Mus musculus: one gene and its partners. The protein of the gene in region 3 interacts with the protein of the main gene of each other region in a biochemical or structural test. Links are inferred from orthologs where the notes say so. Each region holds a gene or a part of one and is shown on either strand. Other genes may lie near its edges. The genes, in order: Shtn1, Pbk, Lnx1, Numb, Rasl11b, Kcna4 and Abca1.

Region 1 (3,500 bases), on a different chromosome or scaffold from region 3:
ATAGTTCCACCCACAATGACCTCTGCTCCTTTGCCAGGCAAGAACATAGAAAACAACTCATTCCTAGAGTCCAGCTCAATTTAGTGAGCTCTGAGCATGTATTATCTACTAGCCAAGTTAACAACAAATATAATCTGTCTTCTTAGGACCAAAAGTTAGATTTTAACATAAGCTAAACACACATGCACATACATGTACACATCTACATACATGTACACTGCACATGTGTGCACATGCATGTACACATGTACACAAACTCAAACACTCTTTCTTTCTGGAAAGGTGATTCCTACATGTGGAAGCAGAAAAAGAAATTCTTCATCTTTGGCCTTGGGGAGCAGAGGCTTTCTGGAAACCTGCCAACACTTCCCACAGAGGAAGCGGAAGTCCAGCCTGACCTTACTGCAAGATGTAACAAAACTGGAGATGTGTCGGGACCTTTGCTCTGATGTGAGGACCTATAAATATTGATGTCATCACTCTGAGGTGGCACCTGTGAGTCTCTCTTCCACCTCTTCCCTTTCCTCTCCCCTATCACAAGGGCACAGAGGGACCTGGGCTGCATTAACTGGAAACTGAATAAAGAGCTAAGAAGCCCTACAGATATCTATGTAAGTCTGCATGGTTAGAAATTGTAACTAAGAGAGAAATGACTACTGACAGGTTTTCCTTTCCTTCCTTCTCAGAATAAGGTCAATGTCCCTTCAACAAGCTCTGTGAGACCAATACATTCTCCTAAGTGTATTCAGTCATCTCTGCAAACCATACCATTTTCAAAGAGACTTGAGGCTACAATCCTTGTTTTTGCTTTTTCAAACTCATTTTAAAGACTCCATGTCAGTAGGCTATAAACTTTAGCTGAGCAGTACACAAAATTTACTTGGTAACTATTGTTTTCTCAAAGATGTTTAGGACTTAAAAAGCAAGGCAAAATATGAACCTCTAGAAGGCCACAGTTTTAATGTGTGATTGTTTTAATGTGTGATTGTGCAGACTGTGTGTGTGTGTGTGTGTGTGTGTGTGTGAAGTATGGTGTGGGTATGTGTAGTATTTGCATGCATGTGGGGGGTGTGCCTGTGTGTACATGTGCATACATGTATGGTGTGTGCACATATATGCATACATGCATGTGTATGTACATGTGTGTGGTATATGTAGTGAGGCATGGGTATGTGTGGTGTGTGCATGCATGTGGGTATGTGTGCCTGTGTGTACATGTGTGTGCATATATGTTGTGCAGACATGTGTGTATACATGCATGTGTCTGCATGTGTATATGTGGTATGTGTAGTGTGGTGTGGGTATGTATGGTGTAAGTATGTGTGGTATGTGCATACATGTGGGGGGTGTGCCTGTGTGTACATGTGTGTGCATGTATGTTGTGTACACATGTGAGTATTCATGCATGTGTATGTATGTGTATATGTGGTGTGTGTAGTATGGTGTGGGTATGAATGCTGTGGTTATGTGTGGTGTGTGCATACAAGTGGGTGTATGTGCCTGTGTGTACATGTGTGTGCATGTATGCTGTATACACACATGTATATGCATGCATGTGTATGTACATGTGTGTGTGTGTCTACAGCTGCAGAATAAAAACAGTTACCTTTTTCTGATGCTGGATCCTCTCTTCTTCAAGCTGCTGGATAAGTTTTGCGTTTTCGTCTAAAGCTTTCAAAAGCTGCTGGTCAGGAAGGGAGCTCTGCAGCAGAAGGTGGCTTTGTCTCTTCAGTTTGTTTTGTTCAATGAACATCTGTGAAAGTCAATTACAAAAATGTATATACCAACCCCAACCATGCAGCTCCCCTGTGCAGATTGAATGGCAGTGGGTGGAGCTCTTGAGGACACTGAAGGAAATGCCTGAGGTAGGAGCTCCTGAGCAGCCACAATGCAGTCCCCAACTTCCCATGAACTTCAAGACCAAAGTCATTACCCCAAGCAAGGTGTGGATACAGCAATCCAGCTATACACCTTGATTTTAAATGCTCTCCTACTGGCTTAAAATACATCAATACTACAAGTGACATGTCTGTGCCCCCCACCCAGGGGGGGGGTTCTCTTTATGCTTTACTTTCGCCGACTTCTCTACTATGGCTAGGAAACCTTCACTAACCACTGTGCAACATGGCAGATGTCACCCTGTATCCAGTTAACACTGCTAATACATGGTAATAGATACATGACCATCACATTGTCCTGATAAGGAAGCCAAGGCTCAGCGAGAACAAGGATCCCCAAGGATGCTCAGGTATCAAGGACAGAGCTTAGGCTCATTTGCAAGCCAAGCCTCTTGACCACCCGACTCACCCCCTCTGCTCTTTATTAGACTGTTTTAGACTGGTTAGTTTCCCCCAGTGATGAAACAGTTCACAAGAGGCGTTCCAAGAAGAGGAGACAATATTAACATCTATTGAACATTTTATCGAGTTGCTTATGAACAGGACTTGCTAATTCTCTCACGCTGACAAAATTGACGGCAGCATTATTTTCTATTTGTCTGTTATTTATTTTCTCCATTGTCACACCAAGTGGGATGGTGGACAATTCAAAGCATGATCTATTTCACAGACTAGAAGTCTCAGACCAGCAAAGAGTTACACTGTCAGGATCTTACTGCATCTTATATTGACACTGTAGCTTAACTGTATGTAAGGTGTGCACAGTAAGATGGCTCAACATAGAGCACACATGCAACCTCATCTGCTGTATAACATGAATGTCAGCAAATGTAACTCAGGACCAAATAAAATTTCTACAAACCTCTGTGTGAAAAGACTAGAACTATAGTGATTTACACAGTCTGCAAGCTTAGTCCTGGTCAATCAAACTCACAACAAATTGTATAATACAAACACATTCATGTTTTCTTTCCAATGTCCCAGAAGGAGAAAAAAAATGGCTAGAAGGGGGTTAAGGTTGGTGGCCCCTCAGTCCAGCCAATCAGTGAGTTCCAGGTTCAATGAGAGACCCTGTCTCAAAAACCAAGGTGGAAACATACCCAGTGTTGACCTGTGGCCTCCAAACATGTATAAGCTGCACACAGATGTACCTCCGCCCCTGCACACACACAATGACTGACTGGGCTTTTATTCTTTTTCTGTGCAGAGAAGCCTAGGAAGCAGCTATAGTGCTGTGCAAAATTCAGATATGCACCAGCTCAGAACAGGTAGAACACACAGTTTTAAAAGATCTACTTTTATTATTTATGTGTGCAAGTGTGTCTCTGTGTGTGCATGTATATGTCTACAAGGGTATCTGCACAGGGTGAAAAGGGGGAACATAGTTCCTTGGGGTTAAAGTCACACCGATTGTTTTGAGACACCTGATGTGGGTTCTGGAAACTGAACTCAAGTCCTCTGGAAGAGTAGAAAGTGCTCTTAACTGCTGAGCCACCTCTCCAGCCTGGTGAAACACAATCTGCATAGTACATGGAATCCATACTCCTTCAGCATCACCTCCTCTTTGGAAGAGTTAAAGGCACAGAGACAGCCACATGGCCA
Region 2 (3,500 bases), on a different chromosome or scaffold from region 3:
GGCTACCCATGCTCCAGTAGGAAGTCCTATACCCATGCACTAAGTGGACTCAGCGGGCTTCAAAAATAAAGAACACATGAGGTTAGTGGTGGTGGAATAGAAGAGGACCTGGAGGGGAGGGAGTGGAAAGTAGATTTGATCAAAACGTATGTATGAAAGAATAGTTTATATAGAAACTGCCTTTAAGTTTCTTTAATATTAATCATAGCATGCCATAACTCATCTCTGATGCATATAGATACATGTTAATTAAGTAGTAGGCTGACATGCCAGGGTAGAAATGTTAGAAAACAGTGTAGTTGTTCTGAGGTTTAATTGTATTTTGATAAGTTCCTAATCCCCCATACTTATTTGTGTCCTTTGATCCCTTCTCAGAGTGTAGACATCAGGTGCTTTTCAGGGCATCTGGTTAAATCTTGACACAGAAATGTAACAGGTGTTGATGACCTAAAGAATTTTATATACTTTAAAAAACCTATTTCTATGGAGCAAAATTTGAGTGTTGGTGTTTTTTTATTCATTTTATATCTTTAAGTTTACATATGTATATTTTAGATCTCCAAGAGGGTTGTCTCATTCTCCTTGGGCCGTGAAAAAGATAAGTCTTTTATGCGATGATCATTATCGAACTGTGTATCAGAAGAGACTAACTGATGAAGCTAAGATTTTAAAAAACCTTAATCACCCAAACATTATAGGTAAGTCTGCATATACTTTGTGGCAGTATGTGGTAGAGCAATGTTCTGTGTAGCTACTGGTTTTGCTAATAACGTTGGGTCCACATATTGTTGGGACTTGAGTTAATGTAAGTTGTCTAAGGTAAAAATTCATATAAGGGCCTGGAGAGATGGATTATCAGGTAAGAGGACCTGCCATGCTTGCAGAGGACTCAGGTTCAGTTCTTGGCACCCACATGGTGACTTACAACTATCCACAGGGGATATAGTATCTTGGCTTCCACTGGCAACAGGCTTGCATGCGGTGTACATACAGGCAAAATACTCATAAAATAAATAAAAAATATTTAAAATTCACATATTCTACATCTTTAAGCATATGTATTTAACCTTCATGGAGTTGAGTTGGAAGTATTTGTTTTGGTGCTGGTCCTGTGAAGATTTCAGGAATGTAGAATGGTCCTGGTGTAGACCAGTCATGTTCATTTAGATGATGGGTTCTTGCACTATTTTCACTTTGCATTTTTGGTACTCATGGGGCTGGTGGAATCCTTCTGTTTACAGAAGCATAATAAAAGTGTTTTGATCTGTGCTACTAGACACACCTGAAGGCATTTGAATTATTTGGGCTTTGTACATAGTAGCTGCTTCATTGTGCTAGTCCAGATCCGTGTTATATTAATGGAGAGTTTAATAGAAAAATGCCATGTTTTCTTAAGGATATCGTGCTTTTACTGAAGCCAGTGATGGTAGTCTGTGCCTTGCTATGGAGTATGGAGGTGAAAAGTCTCTGAATGACTTAATAGAAGAGCGGAACAAAGACAGTGGAAGTCCTTTTCCAGCAGCTGTAATTCTCAGAGTTGCTTTGCACATGGCCAGAGGGCTAAAGGTAACTGTGTCACTGTATTTTAAACAGCTTGGGTGAACTATGAAGAAATTAAACATGTGTTGTACCTATGTTGCTGTGGTTTTAGATAGAAGATAAGGGAAGAAATATATACATAACTGAGGTGGTGGTGGCACACGCCTTTAATCCCAGCACGCAGGATGCAGAGGCAAGGCGGCTCTTTGAGGGCAGGGCTACAGAGAAACTCTGTCTCAGAACCCCCGCCCCCCAAATTATGTTAACTAAACACTGGTAATAGTGACGTTAGAGAACTACTCACAGTGTAATGATAGTGATGTTAGGATTACATGTTAAGGTTTCATAGGAAATTGATTTATGGAGCAGATTGTAGTACATTTTTAGATAGGATAGAGCTGGGCATGGTGGTACACACCTTTAATTTCCAGCAGAGGCAGGCAGATCTGAGTTCAAGGCCAGCATGGTCTACATAGTGAGTTCCAGAACAGCCAAAGGATAGAAACATCTGAATTACTTACTAATGACTTTAAGTATGTATATATAATGAAGTGAATAAATTACAGCGTAACCATATTGGGCCTCCTTACCACATGATAGGCAGCATTGAAATAAGCATAAGCTCTTGTGTAAGAGCAGATCACAGAAAGAATGGCCTCTCATTTCAAAGTTAGGCTCAAATGCTGATAGGTGAACAGATAGCTATTGTGCAGCACTGTTCAAAATGTGACTAATTATTTGCAACCCCAAAAGAAGTTAATGTATAAAACATAATATAGCTTTGGATTACAGTTTTGCTTCTGCTTGTGAATTATGGTGGCTCCATGTCTCCTGCTTTTCTTGTATTACATCAAAGTTGAGCTATTGACCTCAAGTAAAATTGGGAGTGTTGGGAAATCTTCTGGATTGAAATTTTTATGGGCTTTGAGAATTCAAACATCCTGAAAATTTTTAGATGACATGGCAGGTCATCTAAATGGACAATTACGTCTAGTTTACAAAGGGAATTCAAATCATTGTATTTTTTTTTTTGGTGTTATTTTGGTTTTTTGAATCAGGGTTTCTCTGTGTAGCCCTGGCTGTCCTGGAACTTCTCTGTAGACCAGGCTGGCCTTGAACTCAGAAATCCGCCTGCCTCTGCCTGGCTTCAAGTCATTGTTTTATTGAAGGAGTTTTTATTAATTTTTCTGTTCATGTATTTGATTGCTTTTTCCAATTTTAGTACCTGCACCAAGAAAAGAAGCTGCTTCATGGAGACATAAAGTCTTCAAATGTTGTAATTAAAGGTGATTTTGAAACAATTAAAATCTGTGATGTAGGAGTCTCTCTGCCATTGGATGAAAATATGACTGGTAAGTAGGATTGTTTTAAATTTATACAATTTTGCATTGTAAAACATAATAAACCTTCATGGTTTAAATGAACTATTTTTGGAAACTAATAGTGTCTTTTCATTGTTTTGCCTCCTGAGTCCTCAGCTCCTTCCCTTGCCACATGGTCAATTATTGACTTCTTGGTAGTGTGTATATTTTTTGTCTTTGACTTGTTTTAAATATGTCAGTTGGGCTCACAGGCCTCCCAGTCTTCAGCCTGTGCCCGCACTGGCCCTTATTAGCATGGATTTTAACTGAATAACTTTGGGCAAGACACACCCAATAGGCTAGAGCTTCCCCAGCTTCTAGGCATTCTTATCTAATCACGTTAATCAGGATCCACTATTGCATCTTCCCTTTCCCCTTCAAATGTTTCTTCTCTACTTGTAATTTCATTGAAAGCCTCAAAATAGAATTTTGAAGATAAACTTTGATTAAATAAACTGCTAGTTTTTCTCCCTTATTGTTTGGAAGTGAGTATAAGCATTTTGTTTTGGTTCTATCCTTATTTGTGTAAAATGGAGATTATAGTAATGAAATACAGAAAAACTAATACACTTTAAAAACTGTCCAGTGCATTTGATTTAT
Region 3 (3,500 bases):
TGCTCTAAGTGTTCTATGTGCTCAGACACCCCATGACCACGGCACATTTCCAGGTCACTGGTATCTCACTGGTGTGGCTCTCAAGATGCTCCACTGTCGACCTATTTTTCAGGAGCATATACCAAGACACACAGAAGTCACTCAACTTGTTCCAAATGACGACAGTATTGACCTTTGGGGCCACAAGAGAAAGCTGTCATATCTTAGTGTGCATATATGGTACATGTTTCCCAATATAAGTGGATCTGAAAAGACATTCTGTTCATTTCATATTGAAGCCTTTAGGTTAAATCAACATTTGTTTTCTGAGACAGGCCCTCACGTTGTAGCCTTGGCTAGCCTTAGAACTTACTGTGTAGATCAGGCTGACCTCAAACTTGCCGTGATCCTCCTACGTTTGCCTCTTAAGAGTAGTGGGCGTGCAAGTGTGCAGCAATCTGGTTCGTATGAAACTCTATAGTAAAACAATAACATGGAAAGTCACAACAGCTCTTCACGTACCAGCAAATGCTCTAAAGAGTCGTGTGTGTGTCAAAAGAATGAGAAGTGATAAAGACTGTGTGGTGGCACACGCCTTTAATCCCTGCACTCGGGAGGCAGAGGCAGGTGGATTTCTGAGTTCGAGGCTGGCCTGGTCTACAAAGTGAGTTCCAGGACAGCCAGGGCTATATAGAGAAACCCTGTCTCAAAAAAAAAAAAAAAAAAAAAAAAAAAAAAAAAAGACTGTCAATCCTAGTTCACAGCTAAGGAGAGTGATCCAGAGAGGTTAGGCAAGTAGTCCAAAGTCACACACACAAAACCACACACACACACACACACACACACACACACTGAGAGAGAGAGAGAGAGTGTGTGTGTGTGCAAGCATAGGATTTTAACTTGATGCTTCTGGCTCTTTTAACACCTTCCAAAACTGTCTTTGGGGTTGAAGGTTAAAGTCCCAGGTGTTTTATTTACTGTGCTTTGGAAAATTCATGCACAGCATCTGAGACTCCTGGCTTGGCTCTGCCGCTCCCACCACCACCACCACCACCACTTGCTCACCATGCTCTTTCCTCACGTGCCTGTGTGGCTTCGAATGCCTCCCAGCTACTGGCCAACCTGCATCCTCCATCTCCTTCCCACTGCCAATCTAACTCTTCACTCAGAAACAGGGATTAGAATCCACATGTGTCAGTCAGTGAGGACTGAAGACAAGAGTCCCAATGTCCTAGTTCAATGTACAGAGAATATTCTTAAATCCTACAATCTCTAGACAAAAAATTTTGATCGAATTCTTTCAGGTCCTGTCTAGGACAATTTTGGCAGTTTAAAAACGTTTTTAACCCTTCAAAGCCACAAGGATCTCATTGGTCTGGCTCTAAGGGACATCATTTAAGAGTGTGAGGCTGGGCATGAATGTCTCTTCCTCTGCATCCTAAGTGTCTGAGCTACACAAAAGGAGCCACTTCCCAGTTAGCCTAGGCGTGACTTGTTCTCAGCAGTTGGTGTCCCCTCTAAATACTTCTGTTCCAACTGAACTAGAAAACAGTGCCAGTCAGTGCTTCTGCCAGTTAGTTCTTGATCTCTAGGGCCTGTCCCTGTGGATTTTGACCTGGCTGTGAACATATGATTCCTGGGGAACTATTGAGGCCATAAATGTGCTAACCCTCAGAAGCCTGGTATTCCTCACCGACTCTGAGGCCATATTACTCCACAGCTTCCTTTCTGCACACACACACACATTCATAAAGGACTGTCTGTCACTGTGTAGCCTCAGAGTGACCTAGACAGCTACTCTGTGTCTGCCACAGCCACAAGGAGGGAGCTAAGACGTGACTCCTGGAGAAAGCTGACTCAGGTCAAATACTAAGGTTAGGCAACAGTGGCTCACTCAATCTTTGATCTTCTCTTTAGCACTGAGGTCAGTGATCCAGGTAGATGAGGAACACGTCTTAAGGAGACGGCTGTAAGACCATGACCTTGGCCTCTCCGTGCCTGTCAACCAGGTCTTTTGACTGCTGTGATTGACAGCAGTATCTGCCAGAGGGCTGATGACTACTGGGGCCTGAAAAGCAGAGTCTCAGATCTTCCTAAATGACCTCAGCAGAGGACAGAAGAGCAGATTCTATTTTTGTTCCTGGATAAGAAAGTAATGAAATCACAGTTCACTCCCTGAAGACATCAGTTCATTAGTTCGTTCCTATTCAAGCAGTAAGCATCAGCCGGAGGCTCCAGTGTGTAGAGAGATCTGTGCACAAAACCATGGGACAGCCAGAAAGTGCCGCCTCCACAATGTAATCAGAGTAGTTTAAACATTAATTGAAACAGTCTGTCAAATTAACATCGGGAACAGCCAGGTTAAGACAGCTACATGAGCCTGATAGCAAAGCCAGTTGCCAGATTATGGAGTCCAGATCGTGATATGAGAGATGGACACAGACAGCAGTAATGGAAGGCTGGATGCCATGAGAACAGTCTATAGGAATCGTGTGTTTAGTGACAATGAGGAAAAGAGAGATTGGGATAGAGTTGAATTGGAATTATTTTGTGCATGCCTTGAAGGAAATTCTGGGTTTCAGCCCAGGATGAAAAACATTCCAGTAGAGAATGCTGGCACCAAGGCAGGAAAGTGGTGCCACACACAGGGAACTGTCAACAGTTTAGCTTGGCATTCAGAGTGGCTGGAGATGCCCGTGGAGTAGATGTCTGAAACAAATACTGTTTCTGTCCATTTCAGTCTTCCCAAGGTTGTTTCACCTGATTCCAGATGGTGAAATTACAAGCATCAAAATCAACAGAGCGGATCCCAGCGAAAGCCTCTCCATAAGGCTGGTGGGGGGCAGCGAGACGCCGCTGGTCCACATCATCATCCAGCATATTTATCGCGATGGAGTGATTGCCAGAGATGGACGGCTGCTGCCAGGAGACATCATTCTCAAGGTGCCCATGAGGCGTGAGCTTGTAACCATAGGCTACAAGATTGTGAGCTGTAGGCTGTGCGTGGCACATAATTTAAGTCCTTAAAGGTTGGATGGGTAGGTGGGAAGAGCGATGGATGACTGGCGAGAAGATGGGTGGATAAGTGGGTGCATAGATGAATAAATAAAATCCTTCAGAGCCAATTGTAGTAGATGGGCAAATGGATGTTTAGATGGATGAGTGGACTGGTGGGTGGATGAATGGATGCGTAGCCGGGCAGATAAGTGGATGGGTAGATGACAAACAGGATAAATAGAATGAAATGAAGATAGATACTTTCTTTCCACAGTTACATTGATGTAAATCTCCTATGAAGAGTTCTAGTATAACACTTCTGGATCTTTCACTCTTCCCCCATCTCTCTATTTATAATCACTTCTCTTTGTATCATTGTATCTCTCTTCTCTCTGTTACTGTATCCCTTTCTGTCTTCTCTGCCTTTTTCCCTTCGACTTTGTTTCGGTGGTCCCTCTTTTCTTTCTCCAATTCTTACTTTTCTTCTCTTCCTCTTCTTGATCCTTCTGTGGCCTTCCTTTTAA
Region 4 (4,011 bases), on a different chromosome or scaffold from region 3:
CACAGTGACCCTGAGAATTAACAGTTACTACCATATCTGACAGACATATAAACTAAGGATTAGAACTTTCCGTTTACTTGCATCAGTCACATCACCATCTCTGGCAGCACAGCATTCACTCAGGTCTGTCTCATTGTAAAGCTTACAGGGTGCCCCAGTTACTACATAAGCTAGATTGTGACCCAAACCTCAGGCATGCATGGTTTATTAATCGTGAGTGTTGGTTGAACAGCATTCATTCAGTAAGTATATGTGAGCAACTCCTCTACTGATCAGTTCCAGGAAGGCAGGCATAAACAGGGAACAGGACAGTATCCTGTCCTTGCAGACTTTACCTCACTGGGAATAGGTAGGTAATGTAAACAAAGACATGTTTTAGTTTGAGACAGTAATTAAGCAAAGGTACCACAAAGAAAAATCAGGGATTTGGGGGAGGTGGCTTTGCCTTTGGGTTCCATCCCCACCAGGTTCCATGAGGAGTGAGCAGAGAGGAAGAGAGAAAAGTGACAGGAAAGGCTCCAAGACACAGAGTGCTTGCCTGCCTGGGATGTGCGGGGCTGTAGTTTTAATCGCTTGCCCTACAGACTAGAAAAAGAGTGACTGTTCACCCAAGCACCATGAGCTCTCCTGGCTCTTACCTAATATCCATCAAATCAGGAAGACTTGAATCTTTCTTTTGTCTACCAGTAGTAATAAAGATAGCTACAAATGAAGGGGGTGGGGAAGAGTCTGAGAATGAATGAATCATGGGACAAAGGGCATGGAGTGAATTAGATATTAAAGAGGTAACATTGGTAGATAAGGCCACAGGAAGAAAGAATGGGGAGTTGGGCATGTAACTAACTCAGTTGGCAAAATGTGTGCCTGGCAGGCACAAAATATTAGTTCAGTCCTTAGCACCAAACTGAGGCACAGTAGGGCATGGCTGTAATCCCGGCATTTGAGAGGTATCAAGCAGGTGAGAAGTTAAACGCCGCCCTTGTTGGGGCAGTTGTCATTGGAGGGGACTGTAGTTGTCTTTAAAAAGCGGACTGAGAGCAGTTTTAGACTCACTGTCACTCCGAGAGGAAGTATGCTAACATACTAAGCTATAACCCTCGTGTGGGCCCTCAGGGTTTGGGGTGGGTTTTGTACTAAAATGGTCATCTGAAGTTTGTGTAAGAAGTAACTTTGGTATTTCTTCACTGTGTCTTCAGGTTGTAAAAGTTAACATGAACAAACTACGGCAAAGCTTCAGGAGAAAGAAAGACGTTTATGTCCCAGAGGCCAGCCGTCCACATCAGTGGCAGACAGATGAAGAAGGAGTCCGCACTGGAAAGTGTAGCTTCCCAGTTAAGGTAAAACACACATTGTTGTGTCTGGCCAGTAGATCACAACCTGGGTTCTAGCCTGGAAAGGCATTTTGGAAACCTGGAAGAGAAGAGGGGCTGGGCTTCGGGAGATAAGGAAGGAACCCAGACAAAGCTCTCTGCTCAAGGTTCAATTTTTACTATTTCGGCACTCAGTTATAAAGGAAGGGGGAGGGGCCCAATTCCCGCCAAATAATCCAGTAGCAGGGTGATCACGTGATGCCTTCAGAACAGCAAAGCGGCAGGTTCCAGCAGTAGGCGTGGCAGAAAGATTGAGCGGGAAGCTCCACCCCTGAGCAAGCAGGTTTCAGGCTGGGGGAGGGGAGACTATAACACATATCTTTGTGGTTCTCTGTGGGGAAATAAACAAAAACATAAAAGCAAACCAAACAAAAAACTGATAGCCCATAGAATATGTAATCCTATGACTCACGCTAGTGAAGGAGCCTTCCAAAATCGTATTCTGCTTCAGTGATGGAATTAAATAAGAAAAAAATACATTGTGCAGTTAGTGATTTTTCTTTTTGTGTTTAAGTTATTTAAATAAGGCTGTGTGCTACATAATCTGGAACAAGTATAAGTGAGAACAGTTTGTGTGTGGGTTGGTGGGACTCCTAGGAGCTCACTATGGGCCTTGAGTGTGCTTGGCAAGCCCACTACCACTGGGCTACATCCCTGCCTTCTTTTTACTTCCTTGAGAAGGGATCTCACTAAGTTATCTAGGCTGTCCTTGAACTTACTCTGTAGCCCTTAGGTAGGCTTTGAACTTGTGATCGTCCTTCCTCAGCTCCTGAGTAAGTGAGGTTTCCCAGAAGCCTCCACTCTCAGGTCTGGCCAAGTAAGAACACTTCTAATGAGAACATAAGTCCTGAGACGTCTACAGATCCTCAGTTACCAAGAATTAAATCATTTTCAGTGAGGTAGGGGTTTATTTCCAGCACTCTCCAACAAAAGAAAAGTCAAAAGAAGCGCCTCTCCTCCCCACTCCCATTCAGGGCTAACTGGCTTGTTTGCTGCTTCTTCTATTTTTTTCTGAATATTTATTATTTATATGTAAGCACACTGTAGCTGTCTTCAGACACACTAGTAGAGGGGGTCAGATGTCATTACAGATGGTTGTGAGCCACCATGTGGTTGCTGAGATTTGAACTCAGGACCTTCGGAAGAACAGTCAGTGCTCTTAACTGCTGAGCCAGCTCTCCAGCCCTGTTTGCTTCTTCTTGTCTTCACTTTTAAACTCTTCCCACCATTAGTTCTGCTCTTGTCTTCTGTACTTATAATTTCTTGTTCCATCAATGCTAGATGATTATCTTGATGTTCCATCATAAAAAAAAGAAATACTTTCACTTATTTTCAAATTTATATCAGATATTTTTACTTCATTTTCTTTACATGTTTCACGTTTTATTTCATTTTCTTCACATATGTTTTCTTCACTAATGTTTACATTCTCTTCTATAAATAGTAATTATATCTCCTATATATTGAGCTTGTTCTAAAAGTTTTCATTATTAATTAGGCATTAAATTTAATGCCAATCTAAGGAATATCCTACAGTTTCTTCTCTTTGATATTATTGATTCATTGATATGTTTGACAGATAATTGCTGAATGTCTGCTGTCTACCAAGTATTGTTCTAGGAACCAGGAGTGCAGTGAGCAGCACAGACAGGATCTCTACCTAGTGTTGTTCATGGTAGTGTATGCGAGAGTGTGAGAAAACAATATCTGCTATACCAGAAAGGAATTGTGGATGAAAGAAATAAATGGGGTTGATACGGTTTAAAATATTTTGGTTATGGAAGTCCTCATTAGGGGGCAAAATGTCATTTCAGAAAACACCCAAAGAAATTCAGAAAATAAGCATTTCAGGTATTGAAGGAAACAGAATGTAGCCAAGGGAGCAACAGTGGAGTGGCTCTTCAGCAAGAGGCACCTGGCATAGTAAGGGGCACAGAGAAAACCACCTTGTATAGAACCAGAGGAGCAGGGAGCCATGAAAGCAGGTAGGTAGAAGGTAGATTCAGTAGTTCAGTACTTTCAAATAATATCACACCTACTAGCTGCATTTTTTGATACAATACTCTTTATAAATTCTAAATTACTATTTATATTCAATTATGTATATGAAGAAGTAAATTTTGCTAAAATTTGTATCTAGCATGTACAGTCTTCTCTCTTTTTTTTTAGATTTATTTATTATATTTATATGAGTACACTGTTGCTGGGATTTGAACTCAGGACCTCTGGAAGAGCAGTTAGTGCTCTTAACCGCTGAGCCATCTCTCCAGCCCCTCCCCCCTTTTTTTTAATCTTTTTTTTTTTAACAGTCTTCTCTTGATTGACTTAGTTATATTTGTGTGAAAGTCACTGCATGTGTGCATATTTAAAATAGAATTAGAGTCAGTAAAAGATACTCTGAGTAAGCTTTTTCTATATTACAAGTGCCCAATATTAGATGTGTCATATATTCATTCTTGGGCCCTTGCCTACTAGCTAGAAGTATTGTTCCTACAAATGATCTCATTACCGTCCTTAAACACTGAAAAATTATTTGCCTAGAACATTTTGGGGGTGGAAGTTGGGAGATACAGAGTCTTGCTACATAGATCAGGATAACCTCTACTAGCAAGCCCAATTCCATCTTAAGGATTTTGACTTT
Region 5 (4,052 bases), about 430 kb from region 3:
AAGCCATTCTCGTGCACCTGAGGAGAAGAGGGAGAGCAAGGTGAGCAGCTAGCAGTGGGCACGGCACTGAGCTCTGGCCACAGCACATCCCTCAATTCAAAAGAACCCTTCATAGCGATGGATGGCGGGTTACGGGTTGTAAACAAGTTCTATTCCCCACACACTTGGGCTTTCTTAACAATATGTTGATCCAGCTGCTTGGAGGGAATAAATAACAGGGCAGCTCACCACACTCAAGTGGAAAATGGACCTGCAGAGAACTCCACGCAGAGCGACTTTGTAGTTGCACAAAATGGGAAATTAACTGGCTAGACAGTAAGTCTGGGGAAGATAGGAGCTGGAAGCATTTAAACCTGGATAACTGCCCAGTTCAGGACGGGGAAGGGGGGAAAAAATCCTAGCAGAGCTCTTTTGTCTACAGAGAAACTTTCCACAACATAAAAGTGATTCCGGGTGTTGGAGACTGGGCCTGAATATTTGGGTTTTGATGCCAAAGGCACATAAATAAAAACCAAAGGAAGGAAGTACTGCCAATTCTAAGGGCTGGTTTGGTTCCCCCTGCTCCGGTGATTCCCCTCCTACAAGAGGGGCTCCCCTTCTTCTCCCAGCTCCCCAAACTGAACCGGGCCAAGGCTGACCTGCGGTCAGGTACAATTTAACTGTCAAACCACAAGTACCGTCTAGACCTGACTGCCCACATCTCGTGTCCCTTACACTTAAACAAGTGAGCAGTGCCTCAGCCGCCGGTGTCTGCTCTGGCCCTGTCAGCATCAGTGTCTCACCTGGATGCCCGGAGTGTCCTGGACCTGAATAGCCAGCGTTTCTCCTTCTATGTGAACTTGTCTTGTGTAGAGATTACCTATGAAGACAGAGAAAGGAGAGTGTGTTCCTCTTTCATGTGCAGCCTCGGGAAACATTATGGTTTGGGTTTTTGTTTGTTTGTTTGTTTGTTTTTAATGTACCACGACTTGCACCGATACACACAAGAGAAAGATGTGATTTACTTCTAGTTAATGCACTTAATTCAGATCTTGTTTAAAGGCCACGTGCAGTCTTAAGCCCCTGCTAGTAGATTATCAAATTTTATCAAAAGTAGGTCAAAGTTTGTGGGTTTTTAGAAACTTGCTGGTCTAATTTTAACTGAGTTTCCATATTTAGAGTAGTTCCACGGAGGAAAGTTTCTGGCTCAGTATACGCAGGGTTTCTGTTTTTATTTTATATTATCATTCTCTGAACAGTTATATTTTGCCCACAATAGCTTCATAAGCAAACACGGTTAGTAAATGCACAGTTAGCATCCCTCTTAGCATGAATATGTGCCATGATTCTGATCAGCTCTATATCAAAGCAGAAGGCCACCAGGTCTTATCTTGGGACAGCTTATATGGCTCATTTCAACTAAATCCCCAACTGGTACTTAATACAAGTCTACTAATTTAACCATACAGTCTACTTAGTTAAGCAATTTGCTCTCCCCCTGCTAGAATCATAGCAGCTACTTATTTGTCTTTGTTAAGGAAAGAACTTTAGGCTTACAACTCTTCTTTGGCCTTTGCTTTCAAAGGTCGCCCCTGAAAGGCAGCCAGCAGAGGGAGAGGGTGGGGGAGGAGCTTGCAGCTGGGTTTTTTGTTTGGTTGGGTATTTTTTTTTTTTATGACTTTTGCAGGCATGTTTTAAAGGACAAGGCCTTGGAGTACAAACGGTGCTTCCAACTGGGGTCCCTATAGTTAAAACATACCACAGGGAATACTTTCGGGCACTTGATAAAATGATGAATGCGCCAAGAATGGAATGAGGCCAGATGGCAGCTGGGGGGAGGGGGAAGGGGGAGGGGGAGGGGGCGTGCAGAATTGGAAGTAGCAGAATCTTGATGCTAAACACTGTCACTCTGAAGGAAGTGTCCTTAAAGGTACTGAGAAATGAGGGCGGCCATCCCAACAGGGTTGGTCTCCGTACGTTTCCTCACCTGCATTTCGTTCGTAGTCCCCGATGAATCGTTTAGTGAGGAATCGGACCACCAAAGCTGCAATTCAGAAAAGAAAACAGACTGTTAACCCACTAAGTTAGACGGTTCTCCACCCCACCCCCACCTGGAAAACAACTCTTCCAAAGAAAGTCACAGCCGGCCACCGAGGGCTCCTTGACCCTCTACCAGACACAAGGAGGTAGGAGTGAATTACAGCTCTGCCAGCAGGAAGGGTCTTGAGGCCCAGCCCCTCCGCGGAGCCCAGCTGGGCCACACCTAAGCCTTCCAGCAGGCAAACTTCTTCCTAACCTTACGGAACTCCTGGAGGGGTTACAATCACTAGCTCCCCCATTCCGCCCCAGATCCTGCCAAAAGCCCAAAGCCCCAAAGTTCTACTCTGGCCCGAAAGTCGGCGGGACGCTCTGGGCCCCAGTGACCCTCTTCGTTAAAGCAGAGACATGAAGAGGCAGAGGATCCCACTGCAACGCCCACCGTCTCTCAGTTCCAGTCCGAGCGGGGGTCTCCCACGTCCCGCCCCTCCACCAAGCGGGTTCCTCGCATGGACTCACCGGTCTTGCCCACGCCGCTGGCCCCTACCACGGCGATCTTAACGAGCCGGCGGCCCGCAGCCCCCAGGCAGCAGTCGGCAGCGGTGCTGCCTGGGGCGGGGTACTCTGCGATGGTACACATGTTCTGGATGAGGCGCATCGCCGCTACGGCCCGGCTGCACGGAGCGGGGAGGAAAGTCAGGACAGGAGACGGCTCGCGCTGCAAGGAGAGGAGGGTACCCCGTCGGAGGGCGCGCGGGCAGAAACTGGAAAGAACGGGAGAGCGCGACGAGAAGAGAGGCTCGGGGGTTCCGGATCGCGGCTGGGATGGCAGCCGCCGGGGCGCGGGTTTTCTCTGGCCCAGGCCCCGCCTCCATTCCAGCAGCCAATCCCCGAGCGCCCCGCTCGAGGCCCCGCCCACGGCCTGCACTACCAGGCTGCGCCCCCACAGGAGCCGAGAGCGAGTGCGGGGCCCCGTGAGATCCGAGGAAAACAGGGCGGCCGGCGCGAGGGTGGCAACGTGCGGGACCCAGCCGGCTCCCGCTGCGCTAGCACGCGGCCGCACCGGTGCCTGCGGGGTCACGGGGTCTCAGATCCGCGTGGGGGGATCTGGCCGTGTCTGCTGGGTCTCAGGTCCACGTGGGGGGAATCTGTCCTTGCCTTCATAGGAGACCTGGCGTGTCCGCGGGATCTCAGATCCGCGGTGGGTTTAGAAGCACCCACCCTTGTCTGCCAACCTCGCCGCTGGGCCTCCGTAGGTCAGTCCCTAGGCATTCTCTGAATTGGGTCCCAGGTCCCCTAACCTCTCTGACCACTGGCTTCTCCACCTCTGACCCCAAGGAACCTGCTGGGAGCCCCATAGGTCACTGCCCTGTTTGGCCCTGCCCTATGTTCTGCTCGTGCGCTCGACATCTTTGCACTGACTTGGCTACATTCAAAGTATTATCCTGGATTATACATTTTCCCCATCCTTGTATTCCTAAACAAAGGCACCCCTCCGTGACCCAAAATGTGGCGTTTGTCTTTGGGGCAAAATACCTATTTTGTTCTAGTTCTTGCCAACAGTGCAAGCCCACGAGAAGGCACACAACGTGGAAAGCAAGTACCGCACCCCGAGAGGCAAAGCCAGGCTAAAAGTCACTAGAACAAGCTTGCATGGCTAGCCCAGTCACGCCTCCTCCCAGATCTGTGAAAGGTAAGACAAGAAGTCAGTGCAGCTGTGGATTGGACTCACCGGGAGGCAGAGGGGCCCCACGGTTAGCCTAGTCATAAAGGTTAGTTAAAAGTGGCTTGTCGCCAAGGAAGATGAGGAGTCTAGCACTCATAAAAATACCAAGTACCCCCGTGTCCTCATCAGAGAAAATCACAGACAACTGCTGGCCAGATCCCAACTTCAGCAACCTACTTTATCTATCGCCACCAGCATGCCCTTACAACCCTCAGGGCCTTTTATCTTGGTGCCTAAGAGCAAAGCCTGTGGCATTTTGTACACCTTTATTGAAGGTAGAAAAGCAAAAGAAGCTGATTCCAGGCTCAAC
Region 6 (2,708 bases), on a different chromosome or scaffold from region 3:
TTGTCTACATTTTATGATTAGGAAATTGATGATCATTCAAGTAGTGGAGTCTAAACTGAAGAAAAATGTTTTATTTCCCCACTTCTTTAATCCCAAGAAAAAGAAAAATGTAAGGGTACTTAATTCAGCAACATTCCATGAGTGAAAATTTTAAGGAGAATTCCTTGAGATAAATGAATACTGGAAACAGCTGTAAAGTCAGAGCATCACTGTTGTGGAATGAAGAGGATACTATTGAGAATTAAACCTGGCATTGGTGAAGGGGCAGAGGAAAGCAAGAACCGTGTGGGTTGAGAATGGACAGGACCTAAACAAATGAGTTGCCACCAAACAGACTGATCTGAACCAATGACAAAAGAAGAGAGCAAGGTGGATGCTGAGTGGGAGAGATTTTAGAGCAGCCTGCCCCGTATTCTTGAAAAGTTATGGTCTCCTGGTGTGTGTTTCATGATTTGCCTGAGGACAAGAGCAGTGTATGTGGAGTAAAGGGCTGTTTGCTCTCTATGGTTTGATTCTTTTTTTTTTCCCCTGTGCTTATTTCCCATCCCTCTTCAGGTGAAGTGCTTCTTGTGAATGATTCTAGCCAAAGGATGCTCTTCATTTCCTGCTTTCTATGGAGACCTCAGTGTTGAGTTTGCCTCTGCTGGAACTGCGTCTACCACCTTCTCTACCTTCCAAGGTCTTTGCCTCTATCTACAACCTGGCATTGTCTGTGGGTCCATGAAGGCTTGGATGACCTTAGAGGGAAGGTCTGGGAGTCCACCCTCATAGACTAAGCAGCAATGGCTGGGCATATTTTAAGCCGCATTTTAACATGGGTCAAGCCATCAGTAGAAGGCAAGTGCTAAGACTAAAGACTTATTTGAATTTTATTTAAATTAGATGGACTGGGCCTTGGCCAATTTCCATGCAAGAAAAAGTATATTTCATTTTCTAGGCACAACTTCTGAGTGTCAGATACTTGCTGTCTTTGAGTCTTGTGGCGTCATCACCGGACAGCATCCCAGACAGACTTCCAGATTTGAACATCTACCCCCCAACACGTAGGTGTATGGGAGACCACATCATTTCATGACTTATGTTTGAGGAACACTAGGCTGTTGTCTAGACGAGGCAAGCTCTGGAAAGCAACGCCGAGTCTCTGAGAAGAGGGAGCATAGGCTGTGCTGATTTAAAAACAGAAAATGCAAAGTTGGACTGAAAATATCCCACGTCTTCTAAGCAATCTGCTTAAGGCTTCCAAACTTACCTTAATTTGGTAAGAAAATAAGCTGCCCTATTTTTCTTTCTTCTTCTCTTACAACTGGAAGCAGCCATTTCCCCAAACCACCACCATGGAAGTGGCGATGGTGAGTGCCGAGAGCTCAGGGTGCAACAGCCATATGCCTTATGGTTATGCAGCCCAGGCCAGGGCCCGAGAGCGGGAGAGACTCGCTCACTCCAGGGCAGCTGCAGCTGCTGCTGTCGCAGCTGCCACGGCTGCTGTCGAAGGCACTGGGGGTTCTGGTGGAGGCCCCCACCACCATCATCAGACACGTGGGGCCTACTCCTCCCATGATCCTCAAGGTAGCCGTGGAAGTAGAAGGAGGAGGCGTCAGCGAACTGAGAAGAAGAAACTCCACCACAGGCAGAGCAGTTTTCCTCATTGCTCAGACCTGATGCCCAGTGGCTCTGAAGAGAAGATCCTGAGGGAGCTAAGCGAGGAAGAGGAAGACGAGGAGGAGGAAGAGGAGGAGGAGGAGGAGGGAAGGTTTTACTATAGTGAAGAAGACCATGGGGATGGGTGTTCGTACACAGACCTGCTGCCACAGGATGATGGGGGTGGTGGCGGCTACAGTTCAGTCCGCTATAGTGACTGCTGTGAACGTGTGGTGATAAATGTGTCTGGTCTACGCTTCGAAACCCAAATGAAAACTTTGGCCCAGTTTCCAGAAACTCTGTTGGGAGACCCTGAGAAGAGGACTCAGTACTTCGACCCTTTGCGCAATGAGTATTTTTTTGATCGGAACCGACCCAGCTTTGATGCCATTTTGTATTATTACCAGTCAGGAGGCCGCCTGAAGAGACCAGTCAATGTCCCCTTTGATATCTTCACCGAGGAGGTGAAGTTCTATCAGTTGGGAGAGGAAGCCCTGCTCAAGTTCCGGGAGGATGAGGGCTTTGTGAGAGAAGAGGAGGACAGGGCTCTGCCAGAAAATGAATTTAAAAAACAGATTTGGCTTCTCTTTGAATATCCAGAGAGTTCTAGCCCTGCCAGGGGTATAGCCATTGTGTCTGTCCTGGTCATCTTAATCTCTATTGTCATATTTTGCCTGGAAACCTTGCCGGAGTTCAGGGATGATAGGGACCTTATTATGGCCCTCAGTGCAGGCGGGCACAGCAGATTGCTGAATGACACCTCGGCACCCCACCTGGAGAACTCAGGGCACACAATATTCAATGACCCTTTCTTCATCGTGGAGACAGTGTGTATTGTGTGGTTTTCCTTTGAGTTTGTGGTTCGATGCTTTGCTTGTCCCAGCCAAGCACTCTTCTTCAAAAACATCATGAACATCATTGATATCGTCTCCATTTTGCCTTACTTCATCACTCTGGGCACTGACCTGGCCCAACAGCAGGGGGGTGGCAATGGCCAGCAGCAGCAGGCCATGTCCTTTGCCATCCTTAGGATCATTCGTCTGGTCCGAGTATTCCGGATCTTCAAGCTC
Region 7 (3,500 bases), on a different chromosome or scaffold from region 3:
TTTGGAATATGGATATTTATTAGGGATTAGTATGATGGGTGGAGCGCTGGGTCATGCAGAGGGAGAAGTTGAGCCATGATTCAACAGCCCAGTGGGATGTTCTGGAGAACATACAGCTTGTCCAAGAATTTCCCTCATAGTCACTGGACGGGGGCTCATGGGACTCACCAGGGAAAGGGTGTTCCAGGGCCTGTTGGCTCTCCTAGCTATGACAACAGAGGTCCTAACATCTGGATGTCTTTTACCTATAGTCAAGTAAGCCCCCCTCTTCCCCTGCTTGCCTTAAAGTTGAGTCTGGGCAGTGAGGTTTTTGCCTCATACACAAATCTGCTCTTAAGCGTTTTTGCTTCAATAGTTACTTCATACAAAGATGCATCTTATAAAAGTTAGTGTTTTCTAAGAAAGCAAGAGAGCAAAGCAGGAGAATCTAACATTTGTCCTAATAGCAGCTACTATATATTACATATGAGCGCTCACTGATGCCAGGCACCGGTCAGAGGACATGCTGTGAACTCCGTCAGCGGAGCCTTCCTACAATAACCCATTGAGTGCTCAGGGAAAGTCAGAGCCTCACTAAAATACCCAGGGACGGCAGAATCAAGATTTATTGGCATGTTGTTCTGAAACAAACTCTTTTCTCATGCTCTGGTATCCGAGGGCAAGGACCTAAGCCTTGTGACAAGGGTAGGGATCCTGTGGCCAGTGTGTGGGAACGGACTAAGTCAGCCGGGTGTTGACAGGGCCTGGTTCAGTGTCCACAGTGACTACCGATGAGCTCAGAGCTCAGAACTTGGGATGAGAGGATGAATCCACAGAACTTGGGATGAATGAAGACTCTGTGTTTACCAGGGGAAAGTTCAGGTTGCCTGGCCTTTTTCCTAGGCTTTTGGAGAGAAAGGATGCGTAGGCTGTTGTCTCACACGACTTTTTTCTTAGAGGCAATAGTTGTCCTTAGACAAGGAGAAGCCAAATTCCTTGCTCTCTGTGAGAGACGGAGAACAAAATTATCCACTAAGATCAAGTCGAAAGTCCTGGACTTTGTCCTTAACCATAATTCTGCCGTGATTTTTCATGCATAGTCTCTCCAGTAAGTTATTTCACATGGGCTTCATGTCCTCATCAGAAAGTCAAGCACAAGGGTTTCCCTGCGTTAGCTCTGAAAGAATTATATGTCAAAACCAGCATTAAGATCACGTATGTGAGCCGCCGGGCTTGCCAAGGCTACACGTTTATCCAGACTCTTCCTCTCCAGTTAGGAAACCTGCTGCCCTATAGTGACCCCAGCGTGGTGTTCGTCTTCCTGTCTGTGTTTGCCATGGTGACCATCCTACAGTGCTTCCTCATTAGCACGCTCTTCTCCCGTGCCAACCTGGCAGCAGCCTGTGGGGGCATCATCTACTTCACGCTGTACCTGCCCTATGTGCTGTGCGTAGCCTGGCAGGACTATGTGGGCTTCTCCATCAAGATCTTTGCTGTAAGTAACTCTGATCTCTCTGCAGAGGTTGTAGTCCTGGTGCCCCTCCACCTCCCCAGGGTGTTGGATAATCCTGTCTCCCCTCTGGCTAAGTTGTTTCTCCTTTGCCCCTAGAGTAAATACTAGGTTGGATTTGGTTTTTGTCAGAGATCATCAGATTGTGCCTTGAACTGGTTGGAGATAAATGACATTCAGAAATGGATCTAGTTTAGGCAGTAGGTACCATGTCCACCCCTTAACTTCTAGCTCTTTGGCCATAAAAGCTCACAGCAAGGTCATGTCCATGGACAGCTTGAGACCACAAATGGTTCATTCTTGTCCCTTGTCTTTCTTTTATCCATTGTGTTGTTTGACTTGGGAAATATTTTCCAGACTGAAAAAAACCAAACATGACTTACCCTCCCACAAATCCCTGACCAGGACATTTTAGTCTTTTGTGAAATGTAGGTGTGTAGTCTTTAAGCAAGTGAGAATACCAATAAAGGCCACTCACTATCTGCCCTGCTGGGTCACTGATAACGATATTAGGCTCTCAGGATGCTCCAAGTGCTGAAAGCTTGAGTCTCCTAGATATGATGCCTTAAAGCGGCTTCTCTGATCCTGAATATTCAATGACTGATCAGTGAAAAAAGTCCTTGATGAATGTCAGCTGGACGGGGGGAACAGGATCGTTGAGCCTTGTAATGTCTTGGGAAGCATACAGTTCTAAGGTCTCACCTGCTCTCGTGCATACATTTCTGAAACGTGTCTGCATAATGAGTGCTTATAAATGAAATCATTTTCTATGCTGCAAGTGAGTCCGCTTCTCCAAAGGGACTCTAGGAGAATATTTACGTGCCTTATAATTGATGTAATTTGCAAAGTCAAACTTCTCAAGGTGGAATTTACATCAGAAGAGAAAAATGAGAGAGGCAAGGATGTAGACCAGTTCCTTTTGCCTCTTTCTCTCAGAGCCTGCTGTCTCCTGTGGCTTTTGGATTCGGCTGTGAGTATTTCGCCCTTTTCGAGGAGCAAGGTATCGGGGTCCAATGGGACAATCTCTTTGAGAGCCCGGTGGAGGAGGACGGCTTCAATCTCACCACTGCAGTGTCCATGATGCTCTTTGACACCTTTCTCTATGGCGTGATGACATGGTACATCGAAGCCGTCTTTCCAGGTACCCCAGGCTTCCATACTGCTTTGGCTGACTGAGGGGCAGAGCAACTTTCGGCCTGTAGGTTCTTCCTTTCTTTGTGTTGCAGTTGCTGAAGGACGAGGGAGCGCCCTGGGAATTGGCTTGGGCTTTTAGCTTATGAAAAACAAATAGTCTAAGGAAAGGCACTTGTGTTGAAAGCATGCATGTTACTGGCATTGTGCTACACATCTCTTGAGCCCAGTGTGCCAGGTGCTGAGCAAAGTACTTTATACAGACTCTGGTTCGGAAGGTTACTCTGGGCTGTTTGCTAAGGTAAACAGTTTCTAAAAGAGAGAGCTAACTGAGAGTTTGAGGGACTTGCCTAAGGTCATGGGTCTGTTAAGTGTCAGTGCTTGGAGATGACCTCAGCTGGGCTATACTGGGTCAGAGTCTGGCAGGTTCCTCTCAGTACTGACTGGGTTCTTAGGACTATGTCTCCAGAAGAGGAAGCCCTAGGAGACCATCTGTCTCTTAACTACAGGTTATAAGTAATATAATATATTGGGTCTTAGCCCTTGCCTATTGCTTAAGGGAAATTAGTATTCACCAAAAATTAATTTTGATGCTTTCTTACCCTTCTTTGCCAAGTACAACAGAACAGGAACCCTCTTTAGGATACATTTCTGTCTGAGATCAGATTTTAGGGGAGGACTCATTTTCACCCTCTGAATCTCCTCCAAGGAAACCCATTTGAAATGTTTTTTAAACCCGTATCTGAACTTCCTCCATTGACCATGCAATTTGCATGTATATTCTGAGATTCAAACTCTTGAGTCCTTATTTTTTGGGGTAAGTGACCTTGGATAGGGCTACTTGTCCTTCAGTTTGCTCATCTCTAAAATGAGGTTGCTG

What was found.
Region 1: the proteins of Lnx1 (region 3) and Shtn1 form a complex in vitro, tested with the Homo sapiens proteins (2 studies listed by BioGRID). The link is inferred for Mus musculus from reciprocal best matches to the Homo sapiens genes LNX1 and SHTN1.
Region 2: of the proteins of Lnx1 (region 3) and Pbk, one has a biochemical effect on the other in vitro, tested with the Homo sapiens proteins (2 studies listed by BioGRID and IntAct, with this or other methods). The link is inferred for Mus musculus from reciprocal best matches to the Homo sapiens genes LNX1 and PBK.
Region 4: of the proteins of Lnx1 (region 3) and Numb, one has a biochemical effect on the other in vitro, tested with the Homo sapiens proteins (2 studies listed by BioGRID, with this or other methods). The link is inferred for Mus musculus from reciprocal best matches to the Homo sapiens genes LNX1 and NUMB.
Region 5: the proteins of Lnx1 (region 3) and Rasl11b form a complex in vitro, tested with the Homo sapiens proteins (2 studies listed by BioGRID and IntAct, with this or other methods). The link is inferred for Mus musculus from reciprocal best matches to the Homo sapiens genes LNX1 and RASL11B.
Region 6: of the proteins of Lnx1 (region 3) and Kcna4, one has a biochemical effect on the other in vitro, tested with the Homo sapiens proteins (2 studies listed by BioGRID and IntAct, with this or other methods). The link is inferred for Mus musculus from reciprocal best matches to the Homo sapiens genes LNX1 and KCNA4.
Region 7: of the proteins of Lnx1 (region 3) and Abca1, one has a biochemical effect on the other in vitro, tested with the Homo sapiens proteins (2 studies listed by BioGRID and IntAct, with this or other methods). The link is inferred for Mus musculus from reciprocal best matches to the Homo sapiens genes LNX1 and ABCA1.

The regions. Positions count from the first base shown.
Region 1 is NC_000085.6:59,020,570-59,024,069, forward strand, and holds part of Shtn1 (shootin-1), read right to left. Parts: intron 1,754-3,500; coding exon 1,607-1,753; intron 1-1,606. UniProt on the Homo sapiens protein: Involved in the generation of internal asymmetric signals required for neuronal polarization and neurite outgrowth.
Region 2 is NC_000080.6:65,812,411-65,815,910, forward strand, and holds part of Pbk (lymphokine-activated killer T-cell-originated protein kinase), read left to right. Parts: intron 1-555; coding exon 556-698; intron 699-1,396; coding exon 1,397-1,566; intron 1,567-2,761; coding exon 2,762-2,891; intron 2,892-3,500. UniProt on the Homo sapiens protein: Phosphorylates MAP kinase p38. Seems to be active only in mitosis. May also play a role in the activation of lymphoid cells.
Region 3 is NC_000071.6:74,622,904-74,626,403, reverse strand, and holds part of Lnx1 (E3 ubiquitin-protein ligase LNX), read left to right. Parts: intron 1-2,719; coding exon 2,720-2,922; intron 2,923-3,500.
Region 4 is NC_000078.6:83,839,544-83,843,554, reverse strand, and holds the start of Numb (protein numb homolog), read left to right. Parts: upstream 1-1,211; coding exon 1,212-1,337; intron 1,338-1,631; exon of another isoform or gene 1,632-1,701; intron 1,702-4,011. UniProt on the Homo sapiens protein: Regulates clathrin-mediated receptor endocytosis. Plays a role in the process of neurogenesis.
Region 5 is NC_000071.6:74,194,074-74,198,125, reverse strand, and holds the start of Rasl11b (ras-like protein family member 11B), read right to left. Parts: upstream 2,801-4,052; 5' UTR 2,675-2,800; coding exon 2,536-2,674; intron 2,024-2,535; coding exon 1,967-2,023; intron 860-1,966; coding exon 783-859; intron 18-782; coding exon 1-17.
Region 6 is NC_000068.7:107,293,589-107,296,296, forward strand, and holds part of Kcna4 (potassium voltage-gated channel subfamily A member 4), read left to right. Parts: intron 1-555; 5' UTR 556-1,334; coding exon 1,335-2,708. UniProt on the Homo sapiens protein: Voltage-gated potassium channel that mediates transmembrane potassium transport in excitable membranes. Forms tetrameric potassium-selective channels through which potassium ions pass in accordance with their electrochemical gradient.
Region 7 is NC_000070.6:53,079,896-53,083,395, reverse strand, and holds part of Abca1 (phospholipid-transporting ATPase ABCA1), read left to right. Parts: intron 1-1,252; coding exon 1,253-1,474; intron 1,475-2,425; coding exon 2,426-2,630; intron 2,631-3,500. UniProt on the Homo sapiens protein: Catalyzes the translocation of specific phospholipids from the cytoplasmic to the extracellular/lumenal leaflet of membrane coupled to the hydrolysis of ATP.